Linked DNA regions of Nothobranchius furzeri. The protein of the gene in region 6 interacts with the protein of the main gene of each other region in a pairwise test. Links are inferred from orthologs where the notes say so. Each region holds a gene or a part of one and is shown on either strand. Other genes may lie near its edges. The genes, in order: pias2, banp, D-amino-acid oxidase, bend5, creb3l1, prkab2 and stx11a.

Region 1 (3,993 bases), on a different chromosome or scaffold from region 6:
CAAATAACAGATTTACACGTAAGTAGTTTAAATAGAGTGCTGTGCTGTTTGAATGTATAAACTGAACGCCAAGAGAAATCACTAGTTTGATTTTTTTTTCCGTGAATAAAATAAATATGTCAGGCAGGAACGTCTCAGGATCTGTCTGAGAGCTGTCTCGGTGACACAGATAATTGCAATCCAAAGTGTTTTTGATGTGTGATCTGACACTTGATCAACCATTGCTTAAAAATTAAATACAGCTTAGCCGGTTAATTGCTGTGATCATAAAACACGGAAACGGCAGCACGCAGAAATCACGAGGCAACGTTTTACGTGATGTTTACTTGTTGCTATGAGTAATAAGACAGAAAAAGCCACGCCAAAATAAGTTTAGGAAGCCCGCTAAGAATCGTAATAAAAGCATTTAAAAATAAATACCACACACAGTTGAGGAAACGTTAGTTTAAGTACCTGATATGAAGCGGTCGCTGCATAAGTGAAATCCTTTACTCTCGGGGTCCCACAGCTCCATTTTAGCCCGGTCACCAGTGCATTTTATTACAATGATCCAACGTTTGCGGCGTTCCGGATCTTGGGGAATCCTGTAGAAGGATCTTCCCTTGACTTGTCCCCGTCTGTTCTGGCATCCTGGGGCACAACAGGAATCGACCATATTTCCCGTGTGAGATTTATAACATAGTCTAGCTGCCGGCTTCTGCCTGCCAAAATGGTGCCGTTTCGATTTGAACTGTTGCATGCTGGGAGAAGTGACGTCAACTCCCGGAGCTCTATAGAAAAAACAAACACATTCAATTCATTGTTAACAGTTTGATAATTTTTGGGAAATTCTTTATTCACAAATGCAGTTTTATGAAAGTGAAGCCAAGCCTGTCATTTTTCCAAAAATGATTTTATTACTTTTTGCAAATCCCTTAAAAAGGTAAATAATATACAGGCTGTTGAACTTGTCAGTGTTGTTGAAGATCTTTTGAACTAAAGTCCTCTGTCTGTTACTTTACCTTATACTTTATCATTTATAAATCTTGTTATTTCTGCAGCTTAGACATTTTTCCAATTGTATTTGATAAAAGCTGTTCGTTGCCTACTGAGTTTTATTGTTTGTTATTAAAGTGTAATGTGATTGATGTTCAATTAAAAACAAGTTTCCACTTCCTGTTTCTGGTTCCGGTCTTTCAATGCACTTGGCGGCGATAACGTTCTGTTAGGGCGGGTCAAAGACAACCTCCGAGAGTCACGAAGAAGAAATGAGGCATATCAAGATGGCGGACTACCGAGAGTTACAGGTAAGTGAAAACATTCACATTAATTCTGACAAATTTCAGTCAACGAAGCGCTTGCTGTTTCCCTTTAAACGGAGCGTCTCCTGTGTGAAGCCCCTTATCTCTGGTTGAGACACTCAAAACTAAACACGGGTTTAGTTTCGACTCGGATATTTGGTGCTTTTTGGTTAGCTCTTATGCTAACAGATGTGTTGTATGTGTTTGTGAGCCGCTGAAAACCTCCCGCTAGAGTGTACTTGTAGCTACCGTATTACATACACGTTGTTGAATACAACCAGGGTTAGGAACAGCTGGTTATGCGGTGTTTGGACGGAGTACTTGTTCTGCTAGTTAGATTATGATTACACATAACCGTGACCTTTCGAGTCAGTGTAACCAGTCCAGGAGAACACTAACCCTGCTTTCCAGGGCCACTATCCTGCATGTTTTGTGTCTCTTCTCCAACACGTTAGGTTGTAGTCTATGGGCTTGTGCAGCGCGTGATGAACTGCTGAACAGGTGATTCCACCACAGAGAAATAGCGAGAAGATGCTGGGTTGGGTTATAGAAGCTATTTATGACAGCTTACAGTCATGAAGTAGAATAACAAAAATAATAAGGCATTTTATTTAAGCTCACTGTACAGAAGACGGTGTCGGTACAGGATCTGCTCGGGTGCAAGATCGGCTCGGGGTCCGTCGACTGCCGATGACGTCAAAGTAGTTGATTGGCTGAACATGAACCTCACGGAATTACGTAATCACGTTACGTTGTTATCACGTTACGTTGGTCCAGGCAAATCTTTCTATTGGAAAGATGGACAACTTTTACAAAGAAATCCATCATTACCTCTTTGAAAATACACTTTTAGCATAGAGCTGCATGCATATTAGGGCTGAACGATTAACTGCATGTGCAATTAAATTGCGATGTGACAAAAGGAGGGGGGGGTTGAGTTCAGATGGTGCTTGCACAGGTGCATGCAGCGAGCTGCTCGTCCTCTTTACGCAGTGGAACCTTGGATTTTATTGGCTTTTTATGTATTTTTGTTGTGTCTAATGCTTTTTTGAATGGTGTGGCTTCTCTGGTGACTTATGATCGAACTGCGCTGCTGAGGCTTCGTCCTGTTGATGTAGCGGGCGCTGCACGCTGGGAACCTCACGGATGGTGTTGTTGTTTGGACTGCCCGTGTGCTCTCCCCCCCCAAGCCGAGATGTGTCGGCCCTCTGTCCGCCCCAGCTCGAGAAGAAAGCATCGTAGAAGACGGGAAAGCGAGGTAGCCGGCGCATGTTACCCGACATGGGCAACAAACAAAGGAAAACAACAACAGAAAGAAAAGAACAACCAAAGCAAAGAACCAGAAACCCAGAAAGACAAGAACCAAAACCAGTGATAACCTTACCATGCATCAAAGGCATAACAGAAAAAATAAGAGCAACAATGAAAAAACACAACATAAACACACCAACAAAACCATACACAACAGTTAAAAACAGACTAGTACACCCAAAAGACAAGATACTAGCTGGACTTAAATGTGGAGTCGTTTACGAAATCCCATGCAAACTCTGCAATAAAACATACGTAGGAGAAACCGGACACCAACTCAACACACGAACAATAGAACATATAAAGGAGTGCGAGAAAGAGGCAAATCGAAAACACACAAGAGCAGCAAAAGAAGAAGCAGAAAGCACAATAAAGAAGTCAGCCGTAACAGATCACTGCACAAGAGAAGAGCATATAATGGACTGGGACAACACAAGGATCATAAAAGAAGCTATCGAGATAAGGAGACGTGGATGTGGGACCATGAACAGAGACGATGGTGTTTACTCGTTGGATCGCGCATGGGACTGCATCGTCGGAGAGGGGAGATCGGGCAGCAGAGGGCGACAACGTCCTCTGCTGCCCGAGGATAAACGGAGTAGGAAGTGACGCCACCATCAGCGTAGGGCTGGGCGATATGACGATTTTAGACTGTTTTACGATCTATACATCTGACGGTCTGTCATTTTTGAGAGACCATTTTATCACGATTCTGCTGTTGAATTTCTGCCTCTGAATGAAAAGGGAACTTACCCCAGGCGAATGACACGCCTTTGTTTGACCCTTAACCAATCAGAATGAGTCATAGTAATATATTAGTGCCCCGCTTGTTTTCACCTGTGTGTGAGCAAACATGGCTTCGGCTGCGGCTGAGAGCGACAACGAGGTTTTCGTTCCGAAGAGGAACACCTTTTCTATAGTACCGACCGAGCACCGATTAACGTCATTTCAAACGGTGCCTCGTTTCGGTACCCGTCCTTCATAACGAGAACTTGCCAAGAAAGCTGCGCATACGCAAGAGCGTTATGTCGTCGGTCCCTGCGAGCGAGTTGTAATCAGAGCAGCATGGTAGAAAGAAGAACGCACGCTAACGCTTGGGTCCACTTCACTAAATGTGACGGGTAACTGGGTGATGAAACCAGCGACAGACAACGATCTAAGTGAGTCATCATCTTAATCTGCTCTGGTAGGTAAATAAAATGTTTAAGATAACGTTACCTTGATATGTTAGCTTCCGTTTTGCTAATGGTGCGTTCGCTTTCTCCTCGGAACTCCGAATTTCCGACTAGATGAACATGAACGCGCTCTAAAGTTTGGCTTCACTTTACTAAACGTGACCGGTGATTGGGTGAAGATGAAACCAGCGACAACGATCTAAGTGTGAGGCATCATCGTTTTAATC
Region 2 (3,500 bases), on a different chromosome or scaffold from region 6:
TTTCTGAGTATTTATCTTTGTTTTGAATAGCTGCAATAACAAACAAACATTTTTATAAAGGAAGCATATTTGTCTGCTCATATAACTTATAAGAGCATTAGAAACATCAAAAATATCATGTTGTGGTACATTTATTTTAATACTTCAAGGGTCCCTTCATTAATACTACTTAGTGATTTTTTAGTCGTGAATAAACTATCTAATAAAGTATTAACTGCTTACTTAGCAGACAGTTCACTAGCTGTCGGTTGCTGTCTACTTGAATAGTGTTTTTCCACAAATGTGAATTCCATAACTGGATGTACTGTACAGTTTCTTTCTCTTTCCCCCAAACCTATTGGTGTAAGAAGTGTGTTTAAATTAAAAACTGATGATAAACCACGTGTCAAAAATGAAAACATTACCAGCTTGCAGACATGGTCTATGGAAGGCAAAAACGTCACTGAGTGTTAGCCCCTACCTTATCTCAGAGATGGAAACAATTAAAGTAAAAAGAGAGGAAAAATGCAGAGACAAATAAATACATCAGACTGAGTAATTTTTCAGTAAGCTTTATAAATGCAACCACATGTCTGGAAAATGATGAGAGCCCTTGATTTAATATTGCTCAAAAAGGTTGAATGAGCAGCACTAGCCTTTGTCTTAACTTTGGCCCACAAAAATACTATCCAGGATATCAAAACACAACTGTGATAACAACACATCCATCTTTTTAAAAGCTACACACTATTTTGAGACTTTTGGAATTGTTTTTATTATATATGTTAGGGTGAAAGGATCACATTGAACCACTAAGATGCATTCTTTAACACTTTTTTTCCCTCCAAATAACATTTTGGAGTGTTGTACATCGATCAACAAAAACCGCCACATGGCCTTAATGAACCTCCAGCTACACCAAACAGCACATGGATGAATGATCAAACCATTTCTGTTGAGATCCAAGTTCAATCCAACGTTATATCCAGCTAAAAGAAGGGGGCTTTAAAACCTGAAAAGTCTGTTTCAACAAATCAGTTGTGTAAACAAACAGTCTGATTGCGCCAAAGAGCATGAAGCGCACATCTACGGAGACAGAGTGGTGATCTTTGTGGACGTGAATGAATACACATGAAAAATAATTTGAGAGTTATCAGTTTGTGTGGTGCTCGCCCAAAAATCACGATCAATATCAGCGTCTTCCCAAACACACAGGCACCGAACCAATTACCTAGTCAACTAAGGACAACAAAAGGACAACAAAACAGGATCTTTTTGAGCGGGCAAAAACTTCACAGGGAAAATCCAAAGGTTGCTTTCTGGCTGATGAGCACATCTGCTGTCTACATGAGGTGAAAATGATCAGAGTACAAGATACGTCTACAGCGGAATTAAAAACTGTCGTAAATAATCTCTCAGCTTTGTTTATGTAACAACAGAACAACAAACACTCGACTAAGAATTTAAACAGCACTGATGGCCCTTACTGCTTCACTTAAAGGGAAAAATGAAATGAGACATTTGATATTTTCAGGGAGAACAAAAGAAGAAAAAACAATGCCAGAGAGCTGTTGTTTTGAATCCCTTGACCACTTCAAAGGCCGGCCCGCCGTGTGCCTGCACACCATCTTGATTCAACGTGTTGCTGTTGCTCAAAAAGGGGTTTCACTAAATTTCACCTGTTTCACTTCACAAGACTTAGTACATTTTTTAGTTTAATTGCTGTTTGACCATCTCCCAGAATGGCTGAACATTAAGGGTACTTTCTTCAAGAAAAAAAAAAAAGACAAAGCAGAATGAAAAAAGTAAAGATGATGACGAGAATCTGCAACTCCATGTCCAAGGCATGGATGTTAGTGAAATAACATCCATGCCTGGTCTATTGTGTTCAATAGTCTATTGTGGTCAATCCACCTCTATCTGGTCTTGGCCAGATAGAGGTGGATTGCCAACTCCGGTTTGGAGGGACTTACCTCTAGTGGAGGAGTTTGAGTATCTCGGGGTCTTGTTCAGTGAAAGATCAATCAGCAGATTGGAGCATTATCTACCGTGATACAGACACTGAACCAGTCTGTTGAGATGATGAGGAGCAGTGCAAGAAAGCAAAACTCTCTATGAAGTGGTTGACCTTTGTTTCAATGCTCACCAATGGTCATGACTGGATCAGTCTTAGTGACAGGGTGAGGAGATTGAACCTCCAGAGAGAGACTTATAGAGTCTTTGCTCCTTCTCATCGATAGGAAACAGCTGAGGTGGTGTTAGTGCACTTGGTCAGAAAACCTTCTAGATGCATTCCAGGGGAGGTGTTTTGAGCATGTTCTTCCAGCAGGAGGCCCTTGGGTCAATCCAGAACACAATGGGATGATTGTATCTATGTTGGCCTTCAAACAGATCGGTGGAGGACGCAAAGCCTCTCTGCTGGGGTGGCTACCCCTGCGACCCTTACCCGAATACGAAGAAAACAATGAAAAAACAAACCAAAAATAGTAAAATAATAAAAACACAGTAAATGTTCACCTTGAGTGTAAGACTGGGCGATAAAACAAAAGCAATATTAAATTCAAAATAACTTCACCATTTGAGAATGGGTTGATAGAACTTCGACATTAGTTGAGCCACGCGGCTCAGTATCAGCCAGACGGATGCGCTGCTAACGGCTAATGTTAGTGTAGTTCAACCTGCTGCTGCAGTTAACAGCTTACATGGCTGGTAAAAACAGATTAAACAAGCGCCCCAAACGGAAAAAATGAATGACGTTGAAAATAAGGGACCAAACATTTCTGTCGTGTGAACGTAGTTTGGCTAGCATCCGTAACTGCAAAGCTAATGTGATGAGTGCAGGTTCTGAAAAACTCGAGGGAAACCACCAATCTGTTTGAGCTCATAAACCAAATGTCATCGCTGTCATCTCGTCAACAACTCATTAGTCTTTTGCTACACGATTTCAACAATAGACGAGAGATCATTATCAGTAAAATTAACAGTACAACTTAAAGACAACTCACAATAAATAATACAACTCAAATTGAATATTTACCATCAGTGAAGAACAAGAGGTAAGTAAGACAGCAGTTTTTATGAGCTGTCTGAAAACAAGCATTACATAAGCAGAGGTCTGTTTGATCTTTGGTATTTTAAGTGCCTTTCTGCCGCAAACTTAATGTGGTAATAGGTGCCTGAAACAGTTTGTTCTGGTTTGTGGTTTTGGTTTACCTGAACAGATGATGCATGGTCTGCAACAGGAGCTAGTTGGACGTACTGCACCTGGATGTCAGGTGGGAGGGATGAGCCTTCCACCGCTGCGGCTGCGCCATCAGCTGATGCTACAGCTATCAACTGAGCTCCACGCAGCACCTGGAACGGTCAGTAAGAGAGCAGAACCGTCGATTAGTTTGGCTTTTTCTCATCAAATGCAATTAATGGTTTCTGAGTCCATGCGACCATGCTTTTGGATGTAGGTTTTGCCATTTTACTAGGTTGCAACAGTCTTCCAGGTCTGTGTTGTTTCACATCAAAATGAA
Region 3 (4,133 bases), on a different chromosome or scaffold from region 6:
TTCTGTTCGCTCCAGTTCCCGACCTGGAAACATCCTCCAACTGTCACAAGACGACTCCTGCAGACACAGAAATGATGACAACTGCTCTTTCACTTTCTGCTTCTAAACCAAATATATGTGGTCAGAAAAACGAATTAAGCACGTGAATTGTATAGTTTTTAATCAACGTTGTGTTACGGGAACTACCCTGGAATGATATATGGAGTGTTGTAGGTTCCAGCTTTATTGCTGTGGGTGATAATCCAGTGTTTCAGCCATGGAGCGTCCACCTTAAACACAAAGAAAAGTTAAAGAGCTTTGATGCATTCTGTATAAACTTAAAGCTTCTCGCACTCACCTTTATGATTTGGCCACGGCCCGGTTTAAGATCCGGGTCCGGCTGGAGCTCTCCTGATCTGACCCCGGTGCAGTTTACGATCACGTCTGCCCCCGAATCAGACAGCTAAAACCAGCCAGGGGCAGTTAGAGACAAAACTGTTACGAGATAACATTCTGAATAAAAACATGATGAGATGTTTGAATGGAAGCAGCTCTTTTCATCTGTAGTGATGAAAAACACCCACTGACCTCTTTAAAGGACTTGATCGTCTTGTGATGAAATTTGACACCTCTTTCTTTCAACCTACAACAAAGTTTGAACATTATAAAAACAAAAAAATATTTTACTCACAATAAAAAACAGAAAATGGAAGATTTTTCATGATAAAAATCACAAGATGCTCATGTGCACAAAACATTTTTTATTAATGATAAAAAAGTAAATAATAAAATCAAATTACACAAGATCAAATTGAAATTTAAAAGAAAAAAAGGTCATGTGTATAGTTAATTATCAGATGGCAACCCAATAATGCACGCAGCATTTTATATGTAAGTCTGTGGATAAAGTAAAACAGCCGTTTTTGTTTTTATCAGAGTAGAAAAAAGGAGCACAAATCGACCCAAACAGCTTTTATATCAAATGCACCAAACTAAATGACCTCGTATCATTAAATGTTGAATAATGCAACCGCAGAAAAACGGGAGAGTTCACTCACCAGTCCATCAGCCACGGTAGGTAGGATTTACCTTCCACCATGAGGGCTGTGTTAAACCAGCCATACCTGGACAAAAGTAGCGTGTCAGTCAACATTGGACATGAAGGAGACCAACTCGTCCATTTTTGTGTCCCATTTTCAGTAATTGGTGCTTATTTAATCTATTACCAAACAGGGAAAAATATAAACACAGCAGCTGCTACAATTTATTTAGACCAAAAATGTTCATTTAAATTGTTTTACTAGCTTTTTTGAGTGTTCAAGTTTGTAATGATAAATAAATGTTTATGTAAGTTAAGCAATTGTGGCTTTGTTTGTGCAAATCTAAATACTGATAATGATGGCACACATATTCGTGCATGAGTTCACTGCACCACTCAGATTAACCCTGGTCTTATATAAAACAGCAGCGGTTCTAGTTTAACGGGTCTCGCAGGGAGAACTCACTTGTATCCAGGAAACATCTGCAGCTCCCTGTCAGTGAGCTCTCTGAAGCCCAGAACGATGTCCTTAAATGAAGGCTCCTGCAGTCAGTAACAAATTATTTACACTCAGACCACAGCAGGAGAAACACACAGCTGAGTTAGCATTAAGGATCTCCATTGGTGCAAACCTAACCCTGACTGAGGCCTCTTGATTGGTGTTTATTAACCATCCCTTGTGTTGCTGAACAACGATTTACTGGAGTTCACCTGAAAACCGTTGGACTTTATTATCTATGGTGAACTGATAAACTTATGTAATGATCTATTTGGCTGTTACACTTTCTCGCTGCAGGGGTTATTTGTTCTTGTAAAAAGTTATGGACAGCTCTTATGTTTCCTATTTATAGACACATTTCCAAAGATCAAAGCAGCACTAACCGGAGTAGGCTCCTCACAGAGGTTGTAGCCCGACTGAAGAAAGATTCCCATTTTTATAGAATCCGGAGAGCTGAGCCATTTCAGCAAGTAGTCAAAGGTCATCTTATTCCACATGCTAAAGGTGATGACACACATGGGGGTTAATATGGAGTCAGTAGAGAGGAACCTAAGGTTGCAGGAGCAGAGGCTGCACTCACGTCTCCTGGATGTTGCCCTTATCGTGGAGGTAGGGCTGCCAGAAGCCAGCGGCTCCATCGCTGGTGGTCAGGGGAGTGAAGCGGTCTGCGTACACCTCAATGGTCAGAGGACTGACTGTGGAGTGGAACTGCTGGTAGATGCTCTGAGCTGTTGACAGGCCAATGACTCCAGCTCCGATCACTGCCACCCGCATCTCTGCACTAAAACACAACTGTTACCCACCTGTGTGCACAGGTACACTCCGAACAGGTGGTGAGGAGATTTAAGTCTGGAAAAGCTGCCATTCTATTAGATTATTTCTATCTGATTATAATGCTGATTATTTTAGACAGTTGTGAATGAAATTAGAGATGAACTGACATGATTTAAGAAATGAATCCCCATGATAATAATTTGAAAGTTAGTCATGGATACCCTGCATAATGGATTGTGCAACATGCAAGATAAATATGGATTTTTGGTTTCAAGAATAAACAGAATTATAGAAAGTTACTAAAACTTGCGACAGAGCTGCAAGAGCTACAGAGTGTCAAGATCATTTACTGAAATACATAAAGCAGACGTGTCGGAAAAGTTTAGCCTTACCTCAGATCAGCTTCAGGCCACCACAGGAATTCTCACTGGGGATCACATGGGAGGGCGGAGCCTGCTGCTGCGTTCACGTCTCCTCGGTCTAAAACACAATCAGAATGAGGAGACAAAAACCAAAACCTAACATGTCACAGGGACACAAATGCTAGCTGTTGCACGAAAGGGTTAAAACATGCATTTATTTGTCATTTTTAAGGTGGTATGAGTTAATATGGTTGAAGGTTTCAACTGTTTCCGCCTCTGTCAGCAGGGCAGAGTGGCTACCATTGCAGCTCATCATCATCAGTGTGTGAAGGTGTGTGTGAATCGGTGTGAATGAATGAATGAAACGCTGTAGTGTAACGCGCTTTAGATTCCTCTGATTCAGAAAGGCGCTATACATGTGGGTCATTTATCATTAAAATGATAGATTACATTAAACAGCAGCCAAAAAGTGATACAGATGATGATGGTGAAGCCTTGGTAATTGCTTGTAGACATAAGCGTTGCTGCAATAAGGTCAACTATAGCAATTAAAGTGGAATAACCAGAGTTACAGCTGTACCAAGGAGTCTTCATATATGTTGTTTTAGTACAGCTGTGGTTCACACATCATAGTTCAAGGTGATCTTGGAGCATGATAAACAAGCAGAAGGCAGGAAGATTACAAATTACAATTGACCAAACCAAATCAAGAGTACTGACAAAGCAATGGATCCATCCAACTTATGAGAACAAAGCTGAGAGAGCAAGAAGCTAAGATGAATATTAACAGAGAGTTTGAAGAGAACTAGGAGCATGTTCCCAAAGGAATGTGCTCTGTAAAATAAAAAGATGGAAAACAACCAATATTAAATGGAAACAGGATCAAGACAAAAAGTACTCTGACAGAACAGTGGTAGATAAGTAGCATTAAAATCAAGATCAAGTTTAGAAGAAACAATTCCATGTTACCAGTTGTACTAATAAAAAATTCAATTGTCTTAAGGTTATTGCAGTTTTTTCATGTAAGTATTTCATTTTCCTTATTTTGTCAATGATTTACTGTGTTTGTGTAAGGGTATGTAAATAAATAATAATTTTAAATTTAATAATTTTAAAATATGGCATCGTTATACCTAAATTTATAGGTAAATGAACCTGAATAAACTAGTGAACGTTTTAATTTGTGCTGTCGTCAGGGTGTGATGGGGCTGTGAACGCATCACTTCCTGCGCATGCGCGCGCTCGCACACACACACACACACACACACACACACACACACACACACACGAGAGAGAGAGAGAGAGAGAGAGAGAGTCCATCCTGCAGAATAGTAACACGGCTTCTCTCTCTCTCCTGCCCTCAGTTGTATGTGTGTGTCGTTAGCCCGGCAGCTAGCTGCAGCTCTCCAGGCCCCAGTGGCCGGTGTTTGGTCCGTTCCTGCCCAGCTACCAGCCATGGCGTTGGTGACAATACAGCGGT
Region 4 (3,500 bases), on a different chromosome or scaffold from region 6:
TGCCTTCACCACTGGACTGCCATAGCCAATACAGTAAACACCTTGCCTAAGACAATAATGTAGGCACGTTTTGCCGCAGCGGGTGTGGGCGTTTTATTAAACGTTTTACTTCTGGGTATAAATTCAGGCCGATGTGTTGTCAAAGGTTTAAAATAGCATGATATGCAACCATTAAAAACAATACCTTTGTTTTGTTTGCTATTCCAGACTACTAAAAATCCGAGCCACTTTAGTGTAACACTTGGTTTCCTCCATGTTCCCTATAGGCAGACGTTTAAGTGGAGGCTCACTGTGTCTACCACCTCTTAGACCCTATACACACGTAGTTGGGTATCACAAAAAGTGAACATGTTTTCTACGGTTTGGCCTGTGATCCACACAACATTGAAGATATAGGACACCAAAAATGATTCATTCAAAAAATTTGAACAAAGTAAAGATTTGTGAATTCTCTGTTGTCAGCATTTGCTCGTGGATGTAATTAACTGGGGTTATAGATTTCGCAACATCACTAGCCGCGAAAAACATGCTCTGACCTGTGCGACCTGTTTACACTTGCTTACTTGTTTTTACAAGCGTGATTACTGCTCTATTTAGAAGACCACACTCAAATGATGTTAAGGATGGTTATTGCCCACCAACTAGTTATTCCCAAAAATGTTTTTCAGCAAAGATGCCAGCGATGTGGAGAACTACTGCCACCTACAGTCTTGGCATGCCTATGAATCTGTGGGGTTGGCCCAAGGTTTTTTCTAGATGGGTGGGGGAGGATATTTGGCTTTAGAAAACCTGGTTATGTGTGTACATGGCCTTAGACCTAAAGAAACTAACATACTAATACATTTATTTCCACAAACTTTCTACAAAGTCTTTGGGCATGCCATGTTATTTGTGTAATGTTAAGAACATTTCTGTCTGGAACGTTATCATCAAAACACTTGGCTTTGCATGTGACAGAAATAATAAAAGCCTTTATGAGTCACATCTCAAATCTAAGCAATAAAGTTAAAATAAGCTCTTTAAAAAAACATATGAAGTAACAGGACAGTAAAACAAGCTCAGGTAGATGACACCAGTATCAGCCACCGCTGACTCCTAACTGCAGGTTTAAACAGGATGGCCAAGTGAAGCTTTAATATAAGTGTGTTGTCCTCCTGATGGTCCAACAGCCATTTGTAACTCTTAGAGCGTAGCTAATCCCCCTCAGAGCTATCAGCTCTGTGGGATCTTAGACGGCACGGTCTCAAGTAAATCAACTCTGATACTGATGTGCTCACACACAATATCAAATACTTCATCTAACAAAGATCTAAAATTCAGTGATATGGTCTCAGTGCTGTCTCCTCTGGAAATCTGTCAAAGAGACACATGAGCCATGTGTTTATGTTTTTTACAGCCAACAGAACAGAATGGGCTGTGCTTATTTGTGCTGTCCTAAATCTCCACAGGAGTTTAAGGTAGTACCAATTTTTAAATAAGCACAGTGGACGCTAAAGATCTTTCAGTTAGTTGACAGTCAGGACAGATCATCTCAGCCATGCACAAGATCTTTCACGTGCTGAGATAATAAACGTGGGTCAACGTTTGCAGCATGGATCAGCTCCGTTTTGATCTTAGCCCTTCTATACATTATTAGCGCACCTAGCATAAATCACCACAAATGACTCAAAGCTGATCATCAGAGCCAACAGGCTGCCCTGGTCTTCTAGGTGATCTAGTGCACATGTAACTCTTTTCTGCCTCTATTCTCTTATCACTGTAAAGTCTTTAGTCTAGCATCCAGGAGCTTTCCCCGTGCAGCTAATGTGCTTTACGCCGCGGGCCAGCAGACAAGCTTTCTACTGCCCTTAAGTTAGACCACACTGTTTTCATCCTCCCAACACTTTGGTGCACTCTCACTAGGGCTAACCTGTCAGTCACTTTAAATTCCTCTTGTGCAAATAATTAATATGGGTTCCCTGATGTAGGAGTGTTCTAATTTGCAAGTGTTCTTCACGCTTGGAGTGGCTGAAGGCCCCAGAGCTTGTAGTACCAATTCTCCTCCTGTCATCAGAGACAGGATGCTGGTTGAGTTACAGCAGTGAGGGAAGGAAAGAACCCTAACAGGCTAATAAACACTGATGACGCTGGCTAGGCTGGCAGGAACAATAATAATCTTCTCAACCTTGTTTACCTGCTAGGACAGGGAAGCAAAGGGGAAAGAACAGATCGAGTTCAACAGCATGCTCCTGCTTTCGTGGTTGTTAGCAAGGAGAGCACGGTTTCCTACAGGAATCATGCTTCTTTTTATGCTCGCACACAAACAAATAGCCAGAGATACAGTACGTTGGCATTAGAGGATACTAAGGTTACACTTACAGTTTTTCTGTTATAGCGTCCACATCAGAGGTCAAGTCAGACATAAAATAGATTGTTTTTATTTAAACCAAAGTTCTGGTTTACTGCAGATGGAACATTGACACAATAAACATTACAACGGCCAACAAGGAGCACCACGCAGAAGACAAATAAAGTTTGGTACAGCTAACTGAATCTCAGATCAAAAGGTAAAAATAACAGCACTATGTGGAGGACAGTGCTTTCAGTGGAGTCAGTCTTACCTTCCCATCGTTGCAGGTGTACACTGTTCTAGGTGAGGGCGAGTAGCTGGAGCTTGTGTTGGCTTCTTCTCTGCACATTTCCTGGGTCTCAACAATAGGTTCAACCACTTCAGCCTTGATTGTCTGAGTGCCATTGTCATGCATAGGCTCTAGAACGCAAAAACAAAAATACTTAACATTGTGTAAATACACGTCTAAGCGCTGAATTAATCATCTACCAGCTTTACAAAAGTAAAATACAGCAGTTACTGGAAAAGCACGCCATTGATTAGAAGCCATTGCCACCTTTATTTCCTGCTGTAAAACTTCCTGTTTACATTATTCCTGCCTCAGGCCTGGGCTTCCCTGTGGCTTGAGACAGCAGGTTATTTTAGCCCAGTAACTAAGCTGGCTTGGTAGCTGGCCATGCTAAGCTCCAATGCAGCTGATGAGTTTTAATATCGGTCAGCGTGCTCTACTTCCTGACTGACAGAATCCCATGGTGCTCTAATCTTTAGCCTGTCCATTAGATGGTCTGCCCAACAGGTACCTCTGTTTGGATCCATGGGGGGTCTGATCTTTACCACAGCATCTGGAGCTTAAGGACTTGGACACACAGCAGTGTCAACATAATATACACACAACCCATACATTTAACTCAACATTAGATTTGCCAGATTAGAAATGAACCAATCAAAATTTTATCTTTTATCTATGTTACATAATAGGGTTGTCACGGTAACCGGTGTAGCGGTAAACCCCGGTAAAAAGGTTGACAATAATAATAACCGTCTTATTTTAAAAAAAAAATTATCTCGGTGGATTACCGTGGATGCGGTGTAGGCGCGGTGACCCTTACCAGCCACCGTATCATCTGCTGAAGTTGCCGGCGGCACATGCGCACTTTGTTGTTTACAACCA
Region 5 (3,500 bases), on a different chromosome or scaffold from region 6:
CCATGGCAACACCTGACAGAGACACTGATGTGAGGTGATGAGATGGGCGAGATGACGACAGACTGAGCAGAAAAACCAGGGTCCTGCATCCAGTGAGGCTAGCATGAATCCCTCTGGGGGCAACGGCAGATGTTTGGAGGTCTCAAACTTGGCAAAGACAAAGAAGCTGCCTCTTATATCATGATGTCTGACCTCTGAGGTCTGGAAGGAGCTGGGTGTGACGTCAGGAAGGCGTGACGTTTAGATACAGTAGGTGCCTGGGCTGTCATATCAAAACAAACGTCTTTTATAAGCCTAAAGTTGGCTGCTGAAGGGCTCGTGCTAATCCAGAAAACAAACATTATTTTAGAAGTCAAAACAAAACCACTAATGCATTTGAATAAAATGGTTAATTTTTAAACGTGTTTCCACTTTCTTTGGGTTTGTTCTTTTATTTTAAAGCCGTCAGGAGTTTTGTGCTGATTCTATTGAACTCACCTGGGCTGCTGTCCATGCTGAGGTGTAGAGGAGAAGATCTGTCTGCCAGCAGGGGGCGCTCTTGCAGGTGGTCGTCAAAGAAACTGTTAAATAACTCAGTGCTGAAGTCGTCCATCTGGTCACCTGAAAAGGGCTGGGACACAAAAACAGCAATAACTAACGTATGACAGCCTGATTCATAATAATCTTGGTGAAGTCGCAGGTTGAAGATGGATTTTCTTAAGTCAACCCAACATTAGCTAACCCAGGTTTTCCACCGGATCTCTACGGTAAAAGACACGTTTTCGCCATGACTTTACCGATGCGTCGCTTCCTATCATGACTGTTTCAGGTGTGCAGCAGCTGCAAATGCATTCCTCTTATCACAGAATCACAGAACGACAAGATCACATGTGATTTCACTAGATAACAAGCAAGGAGAAAGATAGCTTTTGGTTTTATTTTGTTCATCGCTTTATGACACCTGTTTTAAAGGGACAATGTGTAGTTTTTATTGTTAATCTCTGGAAATATGATAAATGGCCCACACTTGTATAGCGCCTCTCAGAGTAAGGACTCCAAAGCGCTTTACATTACAGTGTATCATTCATCCATTCACACACTGATGGTGATGAGCTACGATGTAGCCACAGCTGCCCTGGGGCGCACCGACAGAGCTGAGGCTGCCGAGCACTGGCGCCACCGGTCCCTCCGACCACCACCAGCAGGCAACGTGGGTTAAGTGTCTTGCCCAAGGACAAGATATGTGTGTGTGTGTGTGTGTTAGCAGACAGCTGTACCAGATAATAGGCACCGAGGTTAAAGTTTGACAAGAATCAATACATTGTTATGCATTAATCTACTGATTTATGTATATAATTTCTCAGCTTGAAGTGAGTTAACTTGTTAATGTTTTACAGGAGGAAAAATATCAAAATATATATCGTATATCGGAATTCAGCCAACAGAGATACAAGTTTTGGTCCATATCGTCCAGCCCTAAAAGGGAGTCTGATGTGCCTGTTATTTTTCTCAAGTTTGCACTCCCAAGGGCTTTTTGACCCTCCCAAGGGCTTTTTGACCCTAATAGGCATCCGTTGGTAAGGTCTTACTACAGCACAAAAATGCAGCTTGCTTGCAACAATTTAGGCATCTACTGCCCCTATCACCAGGAAAAATACACACTGTCACTTTAAGGTTAACCAATAGGAAATCTGCACAGGTATTTTGTTTTGTAAGTTGCTTTACACTGCAACGTAAAAAACTCAGAGCAATGCTGCGACACTTTGCCTCTGGTATGCTATCGAGACGCGCTGCTCCGTTCCCGGTGGAAACAAATTCCAAATGAGCTGTGCTGCAGCGTCGTTGTTGTCCATTCCTTTGATCATATCCCGCTTTGCCTTGGTCTGCTTCACTCCCACCAGTGCTTGTTTACTATTTGCATTGCTATAAGCTAACCAGAAGAACACTACCTACTGTACCGGGGTGGAACGAACTTCACCTGAGAGTTCCGCTTTCTTACGTACATGTAAACAGGGATAAAGGTATTAGTGGTCAAATTCAAAAGTCATCTTATAATGAAAAACAGGAAAAGATGGAACAACGAAATTCCAGAAGAAAGGAAGCCTTTAGCTAGAGAACATCTCCCAAGTCTCCCTGGGCTGCCACCTTACCGTGGTGGAGGGGTTTGAGTGTCTCAATGATCCTAGGAGCTAAGTTGCCTGAGGATTTCTGCCTCTGGTAGGGTCAGCCATGGCAAACAAGTCCTAGGTGAGGGATCAGACAAAGAGCAGCCCGAAGACCTCTTATGATGAATTATATAAATGGAAACCATGTTCCATCGCCCAGACGTGGGTCACCGGGGCCCCCCTCTGGAGCCAGGCCTGGAGGTGGGGCATGTTGGCGAGCGCCTGGTGGCCGGGCTTTCACCCATGGAGCCCGGCTGGGCCCCCTTCCCATGGGCTCACCACTCGTGGGAGGGGCCAAAGGGGTCAGGTGCAGAATTTGCCCAACCAGTCTACATGTGTTTCATGGATTTGGAGAAGGCGCTTGACAGCGTCCCTCGGGGGGCCCTGTGGGGGCGTACTCCGGGAGTATGGGGTACCAGGCCTGCTGATACGGGCTGTTAGGTCCCTGTATGACCGGTGTCAGAGCTTGGTCCGCATTGCCGGCAGTAAGTCGGGCTCGTTCCCAGTAAGTGTTGGACTCCGCCAAGGCTGCCCTTTGTCACCGATTCTGTTCATAACCTTTATGGACAGGATTTCTAGGCGCAGCCAAGGTGTGGAGGGCATCCGTTTTGGTGGCCTGAGGATCAGGTCTCTGCTTTTTGCGTATGATGTGGTTCTGTTGGCTTCATCAGAATGTGATCTTCAGCTTTCGCTGGAGCGGTTTGCAGCCGAGTGTGAAGCAGTTGGGATGAGTATCAGCTCCTCTAAATCTGAGACCATGGTCTTGATTCGGAAAAGGGTAGAATGCCTTCTCCGGGTCGGGGATGAGGTCCTGCCCCAAGTGGAGGAGTTTAAGTATCTCAGGGTCTTGTTCACGAGTGAGGGAAAACTGGAGCGTGAGATTGATAGCGGATTGGTGCTGCATCTGCAGTGATGCGGGCATTGTACCGGTCTGTCGTGGTGAAGAGAGAGCTGAGTCAGAAGACGAAGCTCTCGATTTACCGGTCGATCTACGTTCCTTCCTACCCTCACCTATGGTCATGAGCTTTGGGCAGTGACCAAAAGAATGAGACAGTAGATACAAGCGGCCGAAATGAGTTTTCTCCACAGGGTAACTGGGCTCTCCCTTAGAGATAGGGTGAGAAGCTCGTCCATTCGTGAGGGGCTCGGAGTAGACCCGCTGCTCCTCCACATCGAGAGGAGCCAGTTGAGGTGGCTTGGGCATCTGGTCAGGATGCCTCCTGGATGCCTCCCTGGTGAGGTTTTCTGGGCATGTCCAACCGGGAGGAGGCCTAAAGGTAGACCCAGGACACGGTGGAGGGACTATGTCTCTCACCTGGCCAGGGAACGCCTTGGGATTCCCCCGGAGGAGCTGGC
Region 6 (4,071 bases):
AAATAAATGTGTATGAAAGTGATAACGCCGGTGTGGTGCGTAGTTCTGTTGTAACCCGCGGTAACAGTCTTGTTACAATAATTTCACAAAACGTTTTTGTGCAATTGGAGCGGGCAGCTGCTAATGTCATTAGTTTGTGTTTCTGTTAACGTTGCTCGTCAGAATAAGCGGAGCATCCGTTAATCTCCAAAGACGAGCGGTGTCAAAGTCAAAGAGATCCAGTTACTACTTCGGTTCAGCTGCGCAAAGTCCAGACGGCTGGTTCTTGTTACTTTGTGGTGATAATGTCAGAAGACCACTTCTGCAGACTCGTCACATTCAGCAGTTACCAGTATCAGCTTGGCGGAGCCGTTTACATGCAGATGCAGTTGTGTTCTACCGCATTATCTGGTTACGATAACAACCAGTTCACCTTCAGCAAGACGAACATGTTTACGTGATTTTAAAAAATCACGTCAGTCTACTTAGGGCAACAGTTTGGTTTTCTGATGTGCATGTAAACACACTGACTGTTCTGAGACATTTAGACTAATTTAGGAGGCACTGAGAATATGGTGAATGATAAGAAAAACAAGCAGAGCAAAGGTGGGTCTGCTGTACCTCGGATGGATCATGGAGCCACTGTCCATCTACAAAAAACTTGTACTGGTGCTCTCCTTCAGGCAGGTCCAGAATGGCTACAAAGTCATTGTGACTTCAAAAAGAAAAGAGTTTAAGTGCAACACCAGATAATCTAAACTGAATAAAAACATTTAAGTGATCTCTACTCCTGCAGCTTGCTCAGAGGGGGAAAACCCCGGTCCTCGAGAGCTGCCATCCAGCATGTTTTAGTCGTTTCCCTGCTTCAACACTACAGATTTTGATCAGCAGGTGATTAACAAGCTAAATAAGCCACTGAGCAGGTGACACAACCATTAAACAAAGTGAGTTGGAGCAGAGAAATAGCTAAAACATGCTGGATAGTGGCCCTGAAGGGCCAGTGTTGTCCACCCCTGAGCTAGCTCCTAGTGAGATAGAATTACAAAATAATTTGTTTACCTTTTATTTAGTGGAATCTTTGTGCTCCAGTTATTGAAAGAACCGGCTATGTAGACTTCTTTTCCCCCTCCAGCCCAGCGGATTACAGTGGGTCGAGCCTGAGGACCAGTTTTAACCAAGTCGTCGAGATCTGGGGTGAATTCTTTTTCTCCTGATGTCTAGAAGCAGCAAACGTGCAACATCAATAGATATTCAGAAAACTGATCACACAGAGCAAAGAAACGATTCTGCACCCTAGTCGGAATTGCCGGAGGGTTACCTTTGACTCAGGTCCATGGGTATTGAAGATGTTAGGGTCATCTGTGCTGTCCACCAACTTGCTGCTGGTCTCTTGGTCCTTGTGACTCCCACTGCTGTCGGAGCGTTGGGCCTTCGCTCCATGGCGATCAGCAGATACTCTGTCACTGGTGTTTCCCATGATGCCTCACAGCCTGACTTCCCACTGCAAGGTCAGGAGAATTGTTTTGCTATGAACATCCAATTTTACAAAACTCCAGCCGTTTAGACACTAACAACCACAGCTTAAAATGCAACTAAAATTTTGTTAGTAAGAAATTTGCCTTTTGTCAAGGGAACTTAAAAAGAAGTTATTTGTCTGTTACTGTCAGTGCGCCCCAGGGCAGCTGTGGCTACATCGTAGCTCATCCCCACCAGTGTGTGAATGTGTGTGTGAATGGGTGAATGACTGGTTGTGTTGTAAAGCGCCTTGGGGGGTTCCAGGGCTCTAGAAGGCGCTATATCAAATACAGGCCATTTACCATTTATTTGAGGTAAATAAATGGCTTTTAAATTTCTCGTTTTAATTTGCAAGATAAAATTGTAATACAGTAAATAGACTAGAACCAGCCAGCAAAGAAACTCCACCAATGTTTCCCAGAACTGCACCTTACATTACACTAGAGACCCTGCAAATGTATAACGCTGTTGTTAACACAACACATGTGAATCAAGATACTACAAAGACACAAAAAAGTTTTAGTTTATGATTTTACACTTTACAAATATATAAATCAGTCCAATTAGAAGTCTATTTAAAATCCCATATTAGATAAAAATGTTAAATATTTGTATTTGACCACTAACCCAAGTCCCATGCCTGATCAGCTGACCCAAACCATTGCTGAAGACATCTAAACAGACAACAGGATCACAATCAGGAGATCAAGGTGTCATGAAGAGACCCAGTTTGTATCAGAACGTGATGACAGCAAACAGCTGTCCACAGTCCAGTGTTACTGCTGCAAAAACACAGTAACTGATGTGTTAAAATGACTGGAACTGTGCGTGCATCACTGCTGCGTATGACAACGGTGAGCTGTGTGGTTTAGCCCAAAGGCTTAACGGCTTTAAAAAGCTTTTCTAGCTTCATGAGCAACAGGTGAAACCACATGTGCCGTATCATAAAGTCAACGTAACCCACCACTGCCCGCTGGACGTCAGGCTGTTCCTGTCCACCTCAGCTCAGCCAGGGTGAATATTTTTAGATGCTGCTCGCAGTTCAACTTAGCTAGCTACCAGCAGCCACTACTAACAAACAAACAAAAACGACTTGTCTGCTTTAATAATGACTGCTAACGACACAAATTATGCAGCTAAATAGAAACGCTTTTGGTTTCCCGTGTAGCTACAAAGGAGACACTCACAAGCACCAGCTGCCGCTCCTCAGGACAGCAGTTTGTCTTCAAACCGAAGACCTGTCCGCGTCCTCCACTTTTCACAACAGCAGCACAGCGGGGCTCCGAGTACGGCGAGCGCAGAGGCCAAAAAGTGATTTTAGCCAATCAGGAACGGGAAGAGACGTGACGTCAGTTACATTTGAGGGGTTGTTACCTTTGTAATATCTAAATAAATACGTTTGTTTTCCTCTTTCAACGAAAATTAAACTTTTTCATTGTTGTATGAAAAAATTATAGAACGCACACAGAGGAAAAATAGAAATTGAAGTATTAGAATCAATGTAGTTTACGTTTGGAGGCAAGAAACAAAGTAAACAAATTCCATTCTGAAAAAAAAATCACATTATTCACAATGAAGTTTAAAAGTAGCTTTATTTTAACTAGTAGCGCCAATGCTTTAGAATATTTAACAAAATACATTGCGTTGCCCAAGACATTTTTCAGATGTTATAAGCTGATTATATTAATTTAATGCTTTGTTGCTTTAAATGGGCACTTTTAAACTTTAGTTAACATTAATAACTATTTTAACATCTCAGTATCATAACACTAAAATTTTTCAAGATCCTGAGAAATAAAAACAGAAATTATGCACTATTTCCATTGATTATTTCAGGTGAAAATGGTGGAGGGTAAGCCAGCTGATTGTTTAGTTTGAGCTGATCACATGGAGCAAACATCGTGCAAATAAGGTCCATACCGATGAGAACAAAGAAGGGACAAAAAAGACCAGGCAGTGTTGATTTTTGGCTTAAAAACTTTGCAGACCTTTTATTCTTACAACCAATGTTTGACACTCTCCATAAGAATAAATACTAAAAAAAAAAAAAAAAACAGCATTAAATTGGTCTCCTCCTCAAGTTGCAATTCATTAAGCTATACTTAAGTTAAATTTCATTAAGCGCTCATGCAGATAATAAGGTAAAATATCAGAATATCTTGAGTTTTTTTATTTATCCATGAGACAAGTAGAAAACCTGTTACACCAATGAACAGTCACTGTAAAAAAACAGAAATTACCACTTATAAGCAAGAAGTCACCAGAACCTCCAAATGCAAAATTAGCTGCCTACGTTTCTATTGGGTTTCCTTTCTGTAAACACATTAATAACTAGTTTTGCTTCGTTCGACTCCTCACCTTTTTCTCCCGCAGTTAACTTAACAACAGCAACTTCTCAACTCAACAAATCCATGCTTATTATTAAAGACATTAGTGATTTCAAACATGCATATAAAGTCATTTGTCTACATCAGATTTCAGAAAACATAAATAATATTAACTCTGAATAAAAACAGCTTGGGTCTCATTCAAACTGCTGATCAGAAATGTAAAGAGAAACCACTCACTGTCCTCTTT
Region 7 (4,033 bases), on a different chromosome or scaffold from region 6:
CCCTAATCTGAGAAAAAATCCAGATTACCAAAGAACTCTGGTACCAACAGGAAGTCCCCTGCTCTGGCTCTGAGTGTTTGTACTGACACTGATTCAGGTACACGCCTGAGAGAAAAGCTTGTGTGGATGTAACATGACACCAATCAGACTCCAGACGCTGGAGCTAATCTCATATGAAGCAACAAAAGCTCCGGCATAAAGCTGGAGCAAAACGAGGCTTGTTGTTCAACACGAACGCAGCTTATCTCCCAGCTAACCACTAATATTTGTGTTTCTACACACTTGTTGGCCAACAGCTGCAGCAACGTCAGCTCCAGCTTTTGTTTTTTTTTCTCCCATTTTAATGGTCGCCGTTTCATTCCAAAGCAGTAATTTAGAAATAAATCAAGTTTTACTGAATGAAACATGCATTACCCGACATAAAAAGCTGCAATGACATATCTTTGATGAGACGTGGAGTCATGTGGGTGCTGCAGAAAGTAATAATCAGTTACGATCAGGAAATGCAACAACTCGATTACAACTGAATGCATTTGTATGTGAACAGCGCGGTTTGAAATGACTCTTCCTCCTTCTCAGACCAGCACAGTACGTGAAAATGAAGTGAGATGTCTGACGCTGACCCCGTAAAAGGAAAATTATAAAGAGTTCCAGTTTAAATCTGACCAAGAATCATTTACAGCACGGGAAGCAGCAGCAGAAGAGTTTCTTGCATGGGTTGTTTTCACTGTATTCTTTAGCCTGTGTGATTTGAACCGTTGCCTTGGCAACGTAGTCCTGAGTAGAGCAGACGTTTGCTTCTATGTTGTCCAGCATGCAGCCCTGCTCCTCCACCAGCTGAGCCATCTGGGAGAAGAGCTCGTGGATGTCTCTGATGCGACCCTCCAGCTCCAGCAGCTCCTTGTGTCTGCTCTCTATCTCGCTCAGAGCAGATCTGGTAGTCCTCCCCTCCAAAAGGAGATTATCCGAGAAGACGTTCCACTTCCCGCTCTCGATCATCTCGTCCAGCTGCTCCCTGGTCACCTCCTTGCCCATGATCTCCGCCTGCCTCTGAATGCGGGTCTTACAGTTTTCCCTCTGGATCATTTCGGCCTCGTTGTACTCAGACATGGCCTCGTGGAAGGCCCGAGTCAGAGAAGTGTACTGTGAGCGCACCATACGAGACAGAGCCGACGTGAAGCCGTGTTCCTCTCCAAGCTTTTTGCTCAGCTTTCCAAGCTTCTCCAGCTGGGCGTAGATGGCCTCCCCCCTGGCTTTGATGTCCCGGCCGAGCGCGTTAGAGTCCCGCTTGATGCTGCTAAACCTCCTGACGGACGTGAGGAACCGCGTGTTCTGCTTCGCCAGACGCTTCACGTCAATTTTCAGCAGCTGCAGCTCCTTCCTCATCATCTGGGCATCTTTGTAGATGCCGTCCATCACATCTTCACCTTGAAACACGATGGCCAGTGACTCTGCGACCTCCTCATCCTCAAAGACTGTGTTAAGCTCCTCCTCAGCAGGCTCCGGGGTGACGGTTTTCAGCTCAGATAGTCGGTCCTTCATTTCACCTGCAGCAAGAGTCAGTTCGATCTGTTATTTTCTAAAATATATGAAATGTTCCGTCGCTCTGAGATGAGCGGAAGCTGGACATATCTCCAAAAGACAAAGATCTTTGAGGCCCAGTTTGCAGTTTTGTCTTCTGAGTAACTTAAGAGACGAGGAGAGTAATAGAGTACAATAAAAACAAGATCTGCTTTCAGACTGACTCCAGATATCTGACACAACACTCTTTTAAGCAGCATCTTAGGAGGTTCCTCAGGTTGTCAGGAAATAATAACGCTGCAGAAAAGAGGAACAGTGCTGATCATCATGTGGCCATGATTATCAACACGAGACGGGCTTTTAAGCTTCCTCGAAATTATGTAAGATCTTCAAAGTGATCCGAGAAATGTGGTAACATTTAGTCTTATTTGGTGCATTAAACCAGAGGTGGCCTTCGGACAACAAGCTGGACCAGAGCCCTCCTAGAAAACACAGATCCTAATTAAACTCTTATAAGCTGCTATGACACATTTAGAATCAGCTTTTTGCTGCTGTTACTCACTGGCTGTGACGTAATATGGACCATTTTATTTTTGGAAACAATAAAAGTGGGGCAATCATTCAAAAATGTCTCATTTTTATCTTTATGCATTTTGGACTCGACCAAATTCTTCCTGGTTACAGAAATGATGATCAACCATATAAACACACCTAATTAAAAACCATTCAACTCTTATTATACTTATCTCGTCATAAAGCTGCTACTGCTCTCACTTTAATTAGTTTTGATTGAGTTGCGATAAGATAAAATAGGTGTGGACGCTTCTCTGGTTATGAATGAATAATTAAATAAATAAATAAACTGATGGTTTAGAAATAATTTCAGGCGGTAATGTCTACAAAAGGAAACTGCTCTGTTACTTCCTCAGATTGTGACGCTTTCAGCTGCTAGTTAGTCTCATCTGTCCTCCACATGCTACTCACATTGTGTAGCTACTTCAAACTATTTCAAGTATTTATGAACAAAACAGAAACGAATAAGCATCTAGTGATCTGATGGGAGGAGGTAAACGAAGAAACTAAGAGGAGTCTTGTAAACTACGCCAGGTTACTTGAGGCGATAAAACCAGAGAAGTAAACGTACCTTATGGCGGTGCCCTCCTAAAGAGAACTCTCCTTAGAAACAGAAGAAAAGAAAGACCCGTTTCCTCTTTGTGTCTCGGTTACATTTAGACATTTCACCAACATCAACCACAGTCTGAGTAAAGAGGTGTGAGTGTCACCAGCCTCCTGACGCCGCGAGACCAACTACGCGGAAGATCAAACCCTGCTTTGAGTTCAGGAAGAACTTCCATCAAAGGGGTCCGAATGGAAGTTCTTCCTGAACTCAAAGCTTTTACTTAAAATGTATTGTGAATAAGGGTGATTTAGAAATGTTAAAATGACGTTACGTAATTATAATTGATTGCATATATCATTTTTCTGAATAAACAAATTCATCAAATTAAATCAGCTGTTGTGATTTACTCAGATTTTCAGTAGCTTTTTAGCATGCGTTTTTTATTAGTATTTGTTTTTATTTTATTTATTTGAGTATTTCATACATTCATTGTGAAATCCAAAGACGTAATGCTTTTCCTGTTTGAAACAAAAAAAGGACCTTAAAAAATCTATGTATCAATGTTTGAGTGTTTATTAGATGCAATTGGGTGCTTATTGTTCTGTTGAACTCATAACCAATATTTTTATATCTGACATGTTTGATTAGTTTGGTAAAATTTCGTAACTGTTTTACATTGCCAAAAAACAAACCCTTCTGCCGTGTAGTTTCGCCCTGTGGCCGCCAGAGGGCGGTAGATCTGCTCTATTTGCTGTGCTGTGGCTAGCTGCTTTTAGCTCCTGCTGCAGCTCCTTGATTTAATCGAGTTGAACACAGATAACTAAAATTGATTTATTGCGTTTTAGTAGTTTATATAAGTGAAGACGCTCTGGCTTTCCTGTAAATTGGACTAAACGCTGTATTGAACGCTGCAGTACCCACTTGTTTCCAGCAGAGGACAGAAAATCTTTACTCTCCACAACCAAATAAAACAACAAATCCCACCTCTTCTGGATCTGTTCACATGCTACAACGTTTTGGAAAGACTTTAGCAGATTTATTATCGGACAGCTCTGCAAGGACTTCGTTTTAAAATGGGAAAATGCTGTATTTTTTTCGCAAGCAGAGAAAGGAAGATGTATACTTTGTTATAAATTTGTTAATCTAGCTAAATTCTATCTCCACAAATGCAAGTATAGTAACCAAAAACCTAATTTCAAGCACTATTATAGTGACACTCTATCTTGCATAAAATTGATTAGTGGATCACTAAACAAAAAAGCTTTAAAAACTATAACTATTTGCACCACCTGTAATTTATTTGGATGTGTGTAACATTTCTGTAGTGCACCCCCTGGCATATGTTTCATCTTCTTTGTTCAATTTTGTATGCAATTTGTTTGTATACTTATC

What was found.
Region 1: the proteins of prkab2 (region 6) and pias2 interact in binary tests that used the Homo sapiens proteins (3 or more experiments, as listed by UniProt). The link is inferred for Nothobranchius furzeri from reciprocal best matches to the Homo sapiens genes PRKAB2 and PIAS2.
Region 2: the proteins of prkab2 (region 6) and banp interact in binary tests that used the Homo sapiens proteins (3 or more experiments, as listed by UniProt). The link is inferred for Nothobranchius furzeri from reciprocal best matches to the Homo sapiens genes PRKAB2 and BANP.
Region 3: the proteins of prkab2 (region 6) and D-amino-acid oxidase interact in binary tests that used the Homo sapiens proteins (3 or more experiments, as listed by UniProt). The link is inferred for Nothobranchius furzeri from reciprocal best matches to the Homo sapiens genes PRKAB2 and DAO.
Region 4: the proteins of prkab2 (region 6) and bend5 interact in binary tests that used the Homo sapiens proteins (3 or more experiments, as listed by UniProt). The link is inferred for Nothobranchius furzeri from reciprocal best matches to the Homo sapiens genes PRKAB2 and BEND5.
Region 5: the proteins of prkab2 (region 6) and creb3l1 interact in binary tests that used the Homo sapiens proteins (3 or more experiments, as listed by UniProt). The link is inferred for Nothobranchius furzeri from reciprocal best matches to the Homo sapiens genes PRKAB2 and CREB3L1.
Region 7: the proteins of prkab2 (region 6) and stx11a interact in binary tests that used the Homo sapiens proteins (3 or more experiments, as listed by UniProt). The link is inferred for Nothobranchius furzeri from reciprocal best matches to the Homo sapiens genes PRKAB2 and STX11.

Annotation. Positions count from the first base shown.
Region 1 is NC_091757.1:20,892,958-20,896,950, forward strand, and holds the start of pias2 (E3 SUMO-protein ligase PIAS2), read left to right. Parts: upstream 1-1,193; 5' UTR 1,194-1,286; intron 1,287-3,993. UniProt on the Homo sapiens protein: Functions as an E3-type small ubiquitin-like modifier (SUMO) ligase, stabilizing the interaction between UBE2I and the substrate, and as a SUMO-tethering factor.
Region 2 is NC_091744.1:74,128,674-74,132,173, forward strand, and holds part of banp (protein BANP), read right to left. Parts: intron 3,334-3,500; coding exon 3,193-3,333; intron 1-3,192. UniProt on the Homo sapiens protein: Controls V(D)J recombination during T-cell development by repressing T-cell receptor (TCR) beta enhancer function. Binds to scaffold/matrix attachment region beta (S/MARbeta), an ATC-rich DNA sequence located upstream of the TCR beta enhancer.
Region 3 is NC_091757.1:45,692,506-45,696,638, forward strand, and holds the start of D-amino-acid oxidase, read right to left. Parts: upstream 2,801-4,133; 5' UTR 2,684-2,800; intron 2,299-2,683; 5' UTR 2,292-2,298; coding exon 2,098-2,291; intron 2,016-2,097; coding exon 1,901-2,015; intron 1,562-1,900; coding exon 1,485-1,561; intron 1,104-1,484; coding exon 1,038-1,103; intron 623-1,037; coding exon 568-622; intron 443-567; coding exon 338-442; intron 270-337; coding exon 187-269; intron 58-186; coding exon 1-57. Other genes in the region: ssh1a (protein phosphatase Slingshot homolog 1), read left to right, coding at 4,022-4,133. UniProt on the Homo sapiens protein: Catalyzes the oxidative deamination of D-amino acids with broad substrate specificity. Required to catabolize D-amino acids synthesized endogenously, of gastrointestinal bacterial origin or obtained from the diet, and to use these as nutrients.
Region 4 is NC_091748.1:56,169,897-56,173,396, forward strand, and holds part of bend5 (BEN domain-containing protein 5), read right to left. Parts: intron 2,750-3,500; coding exon 2,601-2,749; intron 1-2,600. UniProt on the Homo sapiens protein: Acts as a transcriptional repressor.
Region 5 is NC_091754.1:48,074,172-48,077,671, forward strand, and holds part of creb3l1 (cyclic AMP-responsive element-binding protein 3-like protein 1), read right to left. Parts: intron 611-3,500; coding exon 478-610; intron 1-477.
Region 6 is NC_091751.1:56,442,070-56,446,140, reverse strand, and holds the start of prkab2 (5'-AMP-activated protein kinase subunit beta-2), read right to left. Parts: upstream 2,801-4,071; 5' UTR 2,682-2,800; intron 2,622-2,681; exon of another isoform or gene 2,459-2,621; intron 1,481-2,458; 5' UTR 1,457-1,480; coding exon 1,298-1,456; intron 1,197-1,297; coding exon 1,039-1,196; intron 695-1,038; coding exon 601-694; intron 1-600. UniProt on the Homo sapiens protein: Non-catalytic subunit of AMP-activated protein kinase (AMPK), an energy sensor protein kinase that plays a key role in regulating cellular energy metabolism.
Region 7 is NC_091758.1:20,330,304-20,334,336, reverse strand, and holds stx11a (syntaxin-11a), read right to left. Parts: upstream 2,801-4,033; 5' UTR 2,666-2,800; intron 1,548-2,665; 5' UTR 1,543-1,547; coding exon 673-1,542; 3' UTR 296-672; downstream 1-295. UniProt on the Homo sapiens protein: SNARE that acts to regulate protein transport between late endosomes and the trans-Golgi network.